2 linked regions of the Nothobranchius furzeri genome follow. The protein of the gene in region 2 purifies or fractionates together with the protein of the main gene of each other region. This does not show direct contact. Links are inferred from orthologs where the notes say so. Each region holds a gene or a part of one and is shown on either strand. Other genes may lie near its edges. The genes, in order: erc2 and rims1b.

The links.
Region 1: the proteins of rims1b (region 2) and erc2 purify together in Homo sapiens (affinity purification with western blotting; 3 studies listed by BioGRID and IntAct, with this or other methods). This does not show direct contact. The link is inferred for Nothobranchius furzeri from reciprocal best matches to the Homo sapiens genes RIMS1 and ERC2.

The regions. Positions count from the first base shown.
Region 1 is NC_091743.1:67,385,409-67,389,229, forward strand, and holds part of erc2 (ERC protein 2), read left to right. Parts: intron 1-993; 5' UTR 994-1,122; coding exon 1,123-1,794; intron 1,795-3,821. UniProt on the Homo sapiens protein: Thought to be involved in the organization of the cytomatrix at the nerve terminals active zone (CAZ) which regulates neurotransmitter release. Seems to act together with BSN. May recruit liprin-alpha proteins to the CAZ.
Region 2 is NC_091746.1:29,085,337-29,089,157, reverse strand, and holds part of rims1b (regulating synaptic membrane exocytosis protein 1), read right to left. Parts: intron 3,603-3,821; coding exon 2,722-3,602; intron 1-2,721. UniProt on the Homo sapiens protein: Rab effector involved in exocytosis. May act as scaffold protein that regulates neurotransmitter release at the active zone.

The sequences.
Region 1 (3,821 bases), on a different chromosome or scaffold from region 2:
GAGCGGAGCGGAGGTAGTGGAATTTGGGGGTAAGACCTCCACCACCCTCTTTGGCCAAAATACCGCACTTGCAACTTCAGAATGCCGGTCTGGTCCCTAATGTGAAGCTGACATGCCAGCGCTGCAGTCTGCTTTCAGCACTTGTAGCTGTGGTCTTCTTAAAGTGTTACTCTGGATTGTAGTTACTAGATCAATTAGTGTGAAATAACTAAATGTATTTGTTATCGACATGCCCTAATTTAACTGTAATGCCACTTATTTATGTGGAAATATTTAAAAAATGTATGTTACTGATCAGTAAAAAATTTTTTGTAGAAAGTCAATATTTCCTCTTCAGTAGCTTTTTATGATTTTATTTTTAATAACAAAAATTAATTTATGTTATTCATTACTGATGGCTGCAGTTTGTTTCTACTTTATTCAAATGGTGATTCTTCTGTTTTTTATTAAGGGTTATGTTGAACATTTTTTATTTCCTCAGGAGAAGAGTTGATTAGCTGAAAATCACACATGCACAAAATTCTAGTGAAATCTATTTTTTTTACATTATTACTTTATGCACAGAATGTGAGCTTTAAAAACACCTCATTGTGGTTAATTTATAATCGAAGTGCACCAAAGTGATTAAATGTCAGGCTGCATGTTTTTGCTGATGAGCTCTTATAGAACAAGCTCTCTGACACTTGATACATGTTGGGTGGATATCTTTGTTTGCTCTGACACAAAGCAATCAGCTATCACTGTCAAAGAAGAGAAATGTGATGTGGGATGAAAAGTGGGGTTGTAAAGTTGTACCTTAAGTGTTATTTTGATTTATTTGACCAGTGGGGCATCTGAAATTATGTTTGAAGAATTCTGCATGCTGTGTGCAAACTGAACCACATAAGCGGAGAAATCCAGGCTTCCTGATGTGCAGTGTAACAGGAACTATTATGTATTTTTTATTTAAATGGTTATTTTTTTTTGACAGAATACTTTTCTCTGTTTCCTCAGATCTGACTTTCCAACCTTTCAGATGCGAAATGAGTCATCCATATTTCCTTCAAAGAGTCAGAGCCATCTGATTTCACCACGCCCCTGTTAAGGACCCTCCGGTGGCTACTCAACGTTGAATCACAGGACATGTACGGCAGTGCCAGAGCTGTAGGTCATGTAGAGAGCAGCCCTGTACGGTCCCCACGCCTTCCTAGGTCCCCCAGGCTGGGCCACCGTAGGGCTCACAGCGGGAGCGGGGGTGGTGGCGGGGGTAAGACGCTCTCCATGGAGAACATCCAGTCCCTCAACGCTGCTTACGCTACTTCAGGGCCCATGTACCTGAGTGACCATGAGGGCGTGGGCTCCACTGCCACTTACCCAAAGGGAACCATGACGCTGGGTCGCGCCACCAGCCGGGCCATGTATGGGGGCCGCTGCACAGCCATGGGAAGCAGCCCCAACATTGCCTCGGTGGGGCTGCCGCATGCTGACCTTCTGTCTTACAGTGACCTGGGCTCCCTCTCCATGCTGCACCCCCACCACCACCAGGGGGTGCCCTCCGCTCTCCTGAGACAGGCTGTGCGGGGCAGCGGTGGGGAGCTGCTGGAGATGCAGGCCCAGCTCAGGGAGATGCAGAGGGAGAACGAGCTGCTGCGACGGGAGCTTGACCTGAAGGAAAGTAAGTTGGGATCTTCCACCAACAGCATCAAGAGTTTCTGGAGTCCCGAACTGAAGAAGGAGAGGATAATGAGAAAAGAGGAGGCGGCTCGGACGTCAATCCTTAAAGAACAGATGAGGGTCACTCATGAGGAGAATCAGGTGAGAAACCCCTCCCTTCCTTTCTTCCATCCTCTAAGCGTTCATAATCCACATTTTACTGCAAGCTGCTGCTTGTCCATCTGCATTTCTGTTCAGATCTTTCATCGTGCTCTGTCTTCCTCTGCATTGATTGAAGTCAGATGTGTTTCTCAAGATGAATGAAAACCTTTCTGGAAAGAGATTATTATATGTGTAATACCTGTTACACTCACGTGGATTCAGAGTTCTTCTAACCACAGGAAACACAAACCCTTTAGAGTTGTCAACAGTATAGATTAAATCTAAGTTTTCAGATATTTGTAAAGAAGTGAAACTCAAGCTGTATTGAACAGCCTGAGCTCAATATAGCAAAGTTTTAGTTTATTTTCACAGATTCAGCAGATTGTTCCCAAAGGAAGACATGTCAAAAGGATTTTTTTGCTTACCTCAGTGTGTGGGTGGAGTCGTGGCCCAGTTAAATCACTTACTGACAAGAGTGGGAACAGGGCCCAAAGACAAATGTCAAGGACACTTAAACACTTCCTGTCTGTCTTTGTTTGCCTCTTTTATTTTATTTTTTTTCTGTTTGTGTTTCTGACTCTGATCGTCTCTTTGGGAAATACAGGCGATAAAAAACCAGCTAATTTAGCATTTAGTGAGAACAATGTTCTCTCTGTGTAAACGTCACCTCTAGGATTAGTAGTGGTTCACTCCCTGAGCGTCCTGATCTAGTAGGAAGGTGACGTCATCAGAGTTTCCCTTTATTTATTTGAGACAGGCCGGGTGATCGTGAAGCAATATGAACATTACTTGGATGTCAATGCTAAGTTAACCCAGTTTTTCACCAGCCTGTCTTCTCCAATCCTGCCATCTTATGCTGAACCAAGCTGATTAGTCATTACTGATGCTGTCACTCCACCCTTCGAGGTCATAGCGTGATGCTATTTGTGCAGGAGTCATATGAGATTAAATCCTTACAGACCGGTTTTCTTAAATCATTTTTTAAACGTAACTTTGTCAACTGATAGGATGCATTTAACTCATTGCTAAAATAGCCTTTAGCATCACATCATCAGTCAGTTTTCAGTCATCAGTCAAAGGCCAGAGGCATTCTGACTTTAGTTAAAGCTGATATTCAGTTTTTTCTCAGAGGGCGTCGCCTAGAGGCGGAAAAACGTATTGCACCTCTCCCTGCTTCTGCGATACCACTGAAAGCAACACCTCTTGTTCATTAGAGCTAAAACACATTGTTGTATTCTCAGATCATGCAGTTATTCATTTATTTATTATGACTTTATTGCTTTTTAAATTTTATTTCATACATCATGTTTATATTTCAAAGACATACTCGTAGATAAGGAATGTCGTCAGGTCTGCATCTGATTTGACCATGGAGATCCTTCCAACTCTGAAATGCAGGTCCAAGGTAAATTCTTCTCCAGTTTTTGAGATGCTTACAGCAAGTTTAGTCCGTAAGGTTTTCTTTACTTTGGTTTGTCTTTGAATAGAAGCCTTAATTACGTCACACAATGGGGTCAGATCAGTTTTATGGAATTCTAAAAATCAAACATAAGTCTTGAAATAGGGAAAACCATTTACTGTACTTATTATAGTATCTTGGCCACCATCTTGGCCGCATCATGCATTTAGTCACTCCCTGAAAATACAAAAATGGAGCTGAGTGTGGGGGCAGATGATTGTCACCCATCAAACTCTGAGACACTTTAACTACTGAGCTAACCGAGCCAACCAAATCTAACAGGGGTAGTCAACTTCCATTCCTAAAGACTGATATCCAACATGTTTTAGTTATTTCCCTGCATCAACAAACCTGATTTTAACCAGCAGGCTTCTGCGTTGCCTGATGAGCTTCTAAACACGCGAATCAAGTGTTTTGGAACAGGGAAACAACTAAAACATAATGGATACCTGCCCTTAGGGAAGGGAGTTGACTACCCCTGCACTGGGGTGAGAGGGGATCATGCACTGGCTTCACTTTTGTCAGGCAGCATTTGGTCTTTGGGGAAAACTCCAGATTGCTGCTTTAA
Region 2 (3,821 bases):
CGTCGCCCCATCACCGTCGTCACGGTGGTGACCGTTATGCATCAAAGGGTTAAGCTAATTTGTTTTCCAGAGTTACGATTGCAGCTTGAAATGGCCGAGGAACACGTGAAACAGATGAAGGTATAATTAGCAAATGAAAATAAAGGACTAAATTACTCATTTAATTTAATAAGTATATATAGAATTCATTATTTGATAATTGTACTTGTTCAGGTTTTGTTATAACCTCCCATTAGACGACAAACTGTCAGACATACGACCCTACCCGAAGCATCAGGACAGAGCCGAATCACTTCCTGTTCTGAGCTGGAGTGTCTAAAACAGCTAATAATCCCAATCCACACCACCTACACATGACCAGTCCCTGAGTTTTAGTAATCTGGATTAAAGCAGCTGGAACGGCCACTTTCTGTGAGCGTGATAAGCTGATAGAGTGCTTCCTAACCCCCTCTGCTGCCTCCTGAACGCACAAATGACAGGACGTCTGATTTCAGCAGCACCACGCTGCTTTTCTGCCAGAAGCAGGAAAAAGGCGTCGGCTCCCAGAGAGCACTGTAAGCCCAGTCGGTTCAGGGTGGTCCGTGCTCGGCTGCTGCAGCTGGATGTCTGCGGAGCGTTACGTAGTCAGCGAGCCACTGACCTAATTCCACAAATCTGCTGGCCTAAATCACCGGGACTCTCCAAATAAATGAGCGCTGTCCTGAGAGCAGCAGGGTTTATCCACAGCACAGAGGTGTAGATGACAAACAGAGACGAGAGTTTAATCTGCTGCTACTGGGCCGGGAAGACTCATTACCTCAGCTTTAGGCGTTGGGATGGGGGAGAAAGAATTTGGTGTAGGCACTGCTAGCCGACGGTCCTTCAATGACCGGAGCGGCCGGGTCATGACGTAAGCCTTTGCGAGAGGATTCAGGTAGAGGGGAGCCGTACCATCCAGGACTTTGTATGCTAGTGCTAGCAATTTGAATTTGATGTGTGCTGCTAGCAGTAGCCAGTGGAGCTACAGAGGGGTGATGTGTGCTCTTTTAGGCTGACTGAAGGCTAGACGCATGATAAAAGGACAGTAGAGGTATCGTAGACTGTCCTCTAAACCAGAGATGGCATACTGGTGAAGGTTCTCGGTCATTCGGGTCATGGTAACCCAAAACGGTTCAAATGAAGGCAACTGGACTTCTTTGGTAGCCTGGCAAGCTATTATTTAGTCTGGCAACGCTCCATTGACGGCCCTCGGTTGTGGGGCGGGTTCTACCGTTGTCTTTCAAATGATCTCCGCATTCCACTGGACAATGAATGTGACGTACTCTTGTTTCACTCTGTTGCATCATCCCACCCACCAGGCATATAGAGTGCCCTGATTGGCCCACAAAGCGGATAAAGCTCTGTGATTTGTTCACTAAGCAGATAGACCACTATGATTGGCCCACCATTATGGACCAATCACAGCTCTTTATGTGTTTGAAACCCCTCTAGAGAGCTGTGATTGGCTAGCCAGAGTCCTGGTAGGAGCAGCGGAGGTTCCAATGGAGCATGCCTTCTTTGCAAAGCAAGAATTTGGTCTAGTTCACTAGGCTACTTCTTTGGTTTACTTGAAGATGTTTTGCTTCTCATCCGAGGAGCTTTGTCAGTTCTGACTGGAATATGAGCGAGTCAAGCTGCAGCTGTCTAATGTTGTTTAATGAGCAGAAACTACTCTGAACGCCCTGCCTCGCTACCCTCTGATGAGCCGTTAGCCTCTACGGAGAGAGCGTCGTGTTGATTAGATGCAGGAAGGTGTGACCTGGACGGAAACTGCTTAGGAATGAGATTCAAAGCTTGGAAAGGTGAGACCTAGGCCCTCCTCCCCCATTTAAAGTAGGTTCTCCACGTTTGAGAGAGGAGTAAAGGAAGCCATTTATGCCCCAAATATGGGGTGCGTGATGCAGAGATGGACGTGAGGGCTAACCCCCAAATTCCACTACCTCCGCTCCGCTGCGCTCCGGTCCGCCCCCGCCTTCCGCAGCCGCTCGCTTCCGAACTCAGTTTTTACTGGTACCCGCTCTACAACGGCTCTGCTCCGGTGCGGAGACCTGAGGTGGGCAAACAAGCATGCGCGGGATTTTCGAGATCTTGCGATACAGTCCGAGCAATAAACGCGGAAGTTAGATCCAAACACCCGTTGTGTGGGAGAAGCATTGAAATGAACTGTTTAATCTGCCCATCATTTGTGTTGAGAGATCAGCAGTGTTTGGATCAACAAAGTGTGACTACTTTGATAGTAGAAACTGTATTTATGGCTTAATTTTGTGCATTTAAACTTCAGCCGCCATTGATAGTTGTTAAAAGTTGTTAAACCTGTGCATATGAAACAAAAAACGCCTTTTGTTCATCGATTTATTGTGAAAAACGGAAATTGTGCTTGCTCCTTTTCCTGTTGGGCGTTTGTGATTTCTGTCCATTTACTGCGGAGGTGCTCCGGCGTCCGGCGAAAATAGGATCGATTCTATTTTTGCCGGACGCCGGAACAGAGAGCGGCGTCGCACTGTCGGAGCACGGCCGCAGTAGTGGAATTGCTCTGATTGACTACAACGGGACCGATTTTGCTCCGGCGTTCGTGTCGGAGCGGAGCGGAGGTAGTGGAATTTCGGGGTAACGGCGAACAGCTGCAGGTGGAGACGGGTCTAATGTGATAAATGATGACAGCAAACACATCAGGCAGGTTTAGTGGACATCTGTCTGACTGACCTTTCTCGCTGACGCTTTCCATGTCCACGTCCTCACAGCTGGTGTACTCGGGCGTGGAGCCGCCCTCCTCCTCTGAGCTGCTGATGGACATCTGCCTCTTGTTGATTCCTCGCTTGCTCTTGTAGGACCGCGGCGGGGGCGGCCGTAAAGACTCTGACGGATCGGAGCTCTGGGAGTTCTTCCTCAGAAGATTATCTCCACATTTGTCCCGAGCGGAACCATGCTCCAGGTGGCTGCTGTTCTGGTTCTGATCAGGAGGCCCAGGACCTCCAGGTTGGGGCCCTGATCGACCTCCTTCTCCAGCAAGTGGAGGCCCACCTCCCATTCCCACGGTCCTGTCTCCAGGAAAGGCTCGGCGGTTCTCAGGGTGGGCTTTGCGGTCCACCTCCCCATAGCTCCTCTTAGCCAGGTGGTTTTCAGGCACCTGACCTCCACCGCTTCCCTCATTCTGACCGAGCCCCACCTCATTGATGGCGAGATCGCTGTGTCTCCGTTCGTGCCGTACCTTGGATACCTTGGCATGCATCCGCATCTCCTGCTCCTCCTTCTGCGGTTTTACGGGATATCTTGCCAGGTTGGGGTCGCTCCGGTAACGATTCTGGAATTCCTCCTCACAGCGCTGTCTCTCCCTCTGCTCTTCATCCTCTGGGCGTCTCCTGTGTGTCCCTGAGCGTCCCAGGTTCTCGTTTCCATCTTCATAGTCCTGAGAATTGATCTTCTCCAGCCGGCGTCCACTCCCAAACCGTCTTTCTCCTTTGTCTCCAGGAACTGAGCGCTCGTCCAGTGACGACTGGGACTGAAGCTTCCCAGCAGGTCTGCGACCGCTGCCGCGTCCCGTTCCCCCTCTACCGTTCTGCTCATGGAGAGAAACGGGCCTTTTCCTGGGAAAGAGGAAGAATTAAGATCACATTAGGAGTGAGATTATCGGGGATTTTCTGTCCTTCTCTGGAATTGCATTCACCAAACAAAGATGGATGGACCCCCTCATCACCACCAGGCTGATCTAGAAACCGAGTCTGCTCAGTTGATTAAAAATCAGATTTAGCTCAGACAAACGTCTCAGTCTTCTCTAGAGGACACAAAGCTTTGGGACATCTGAG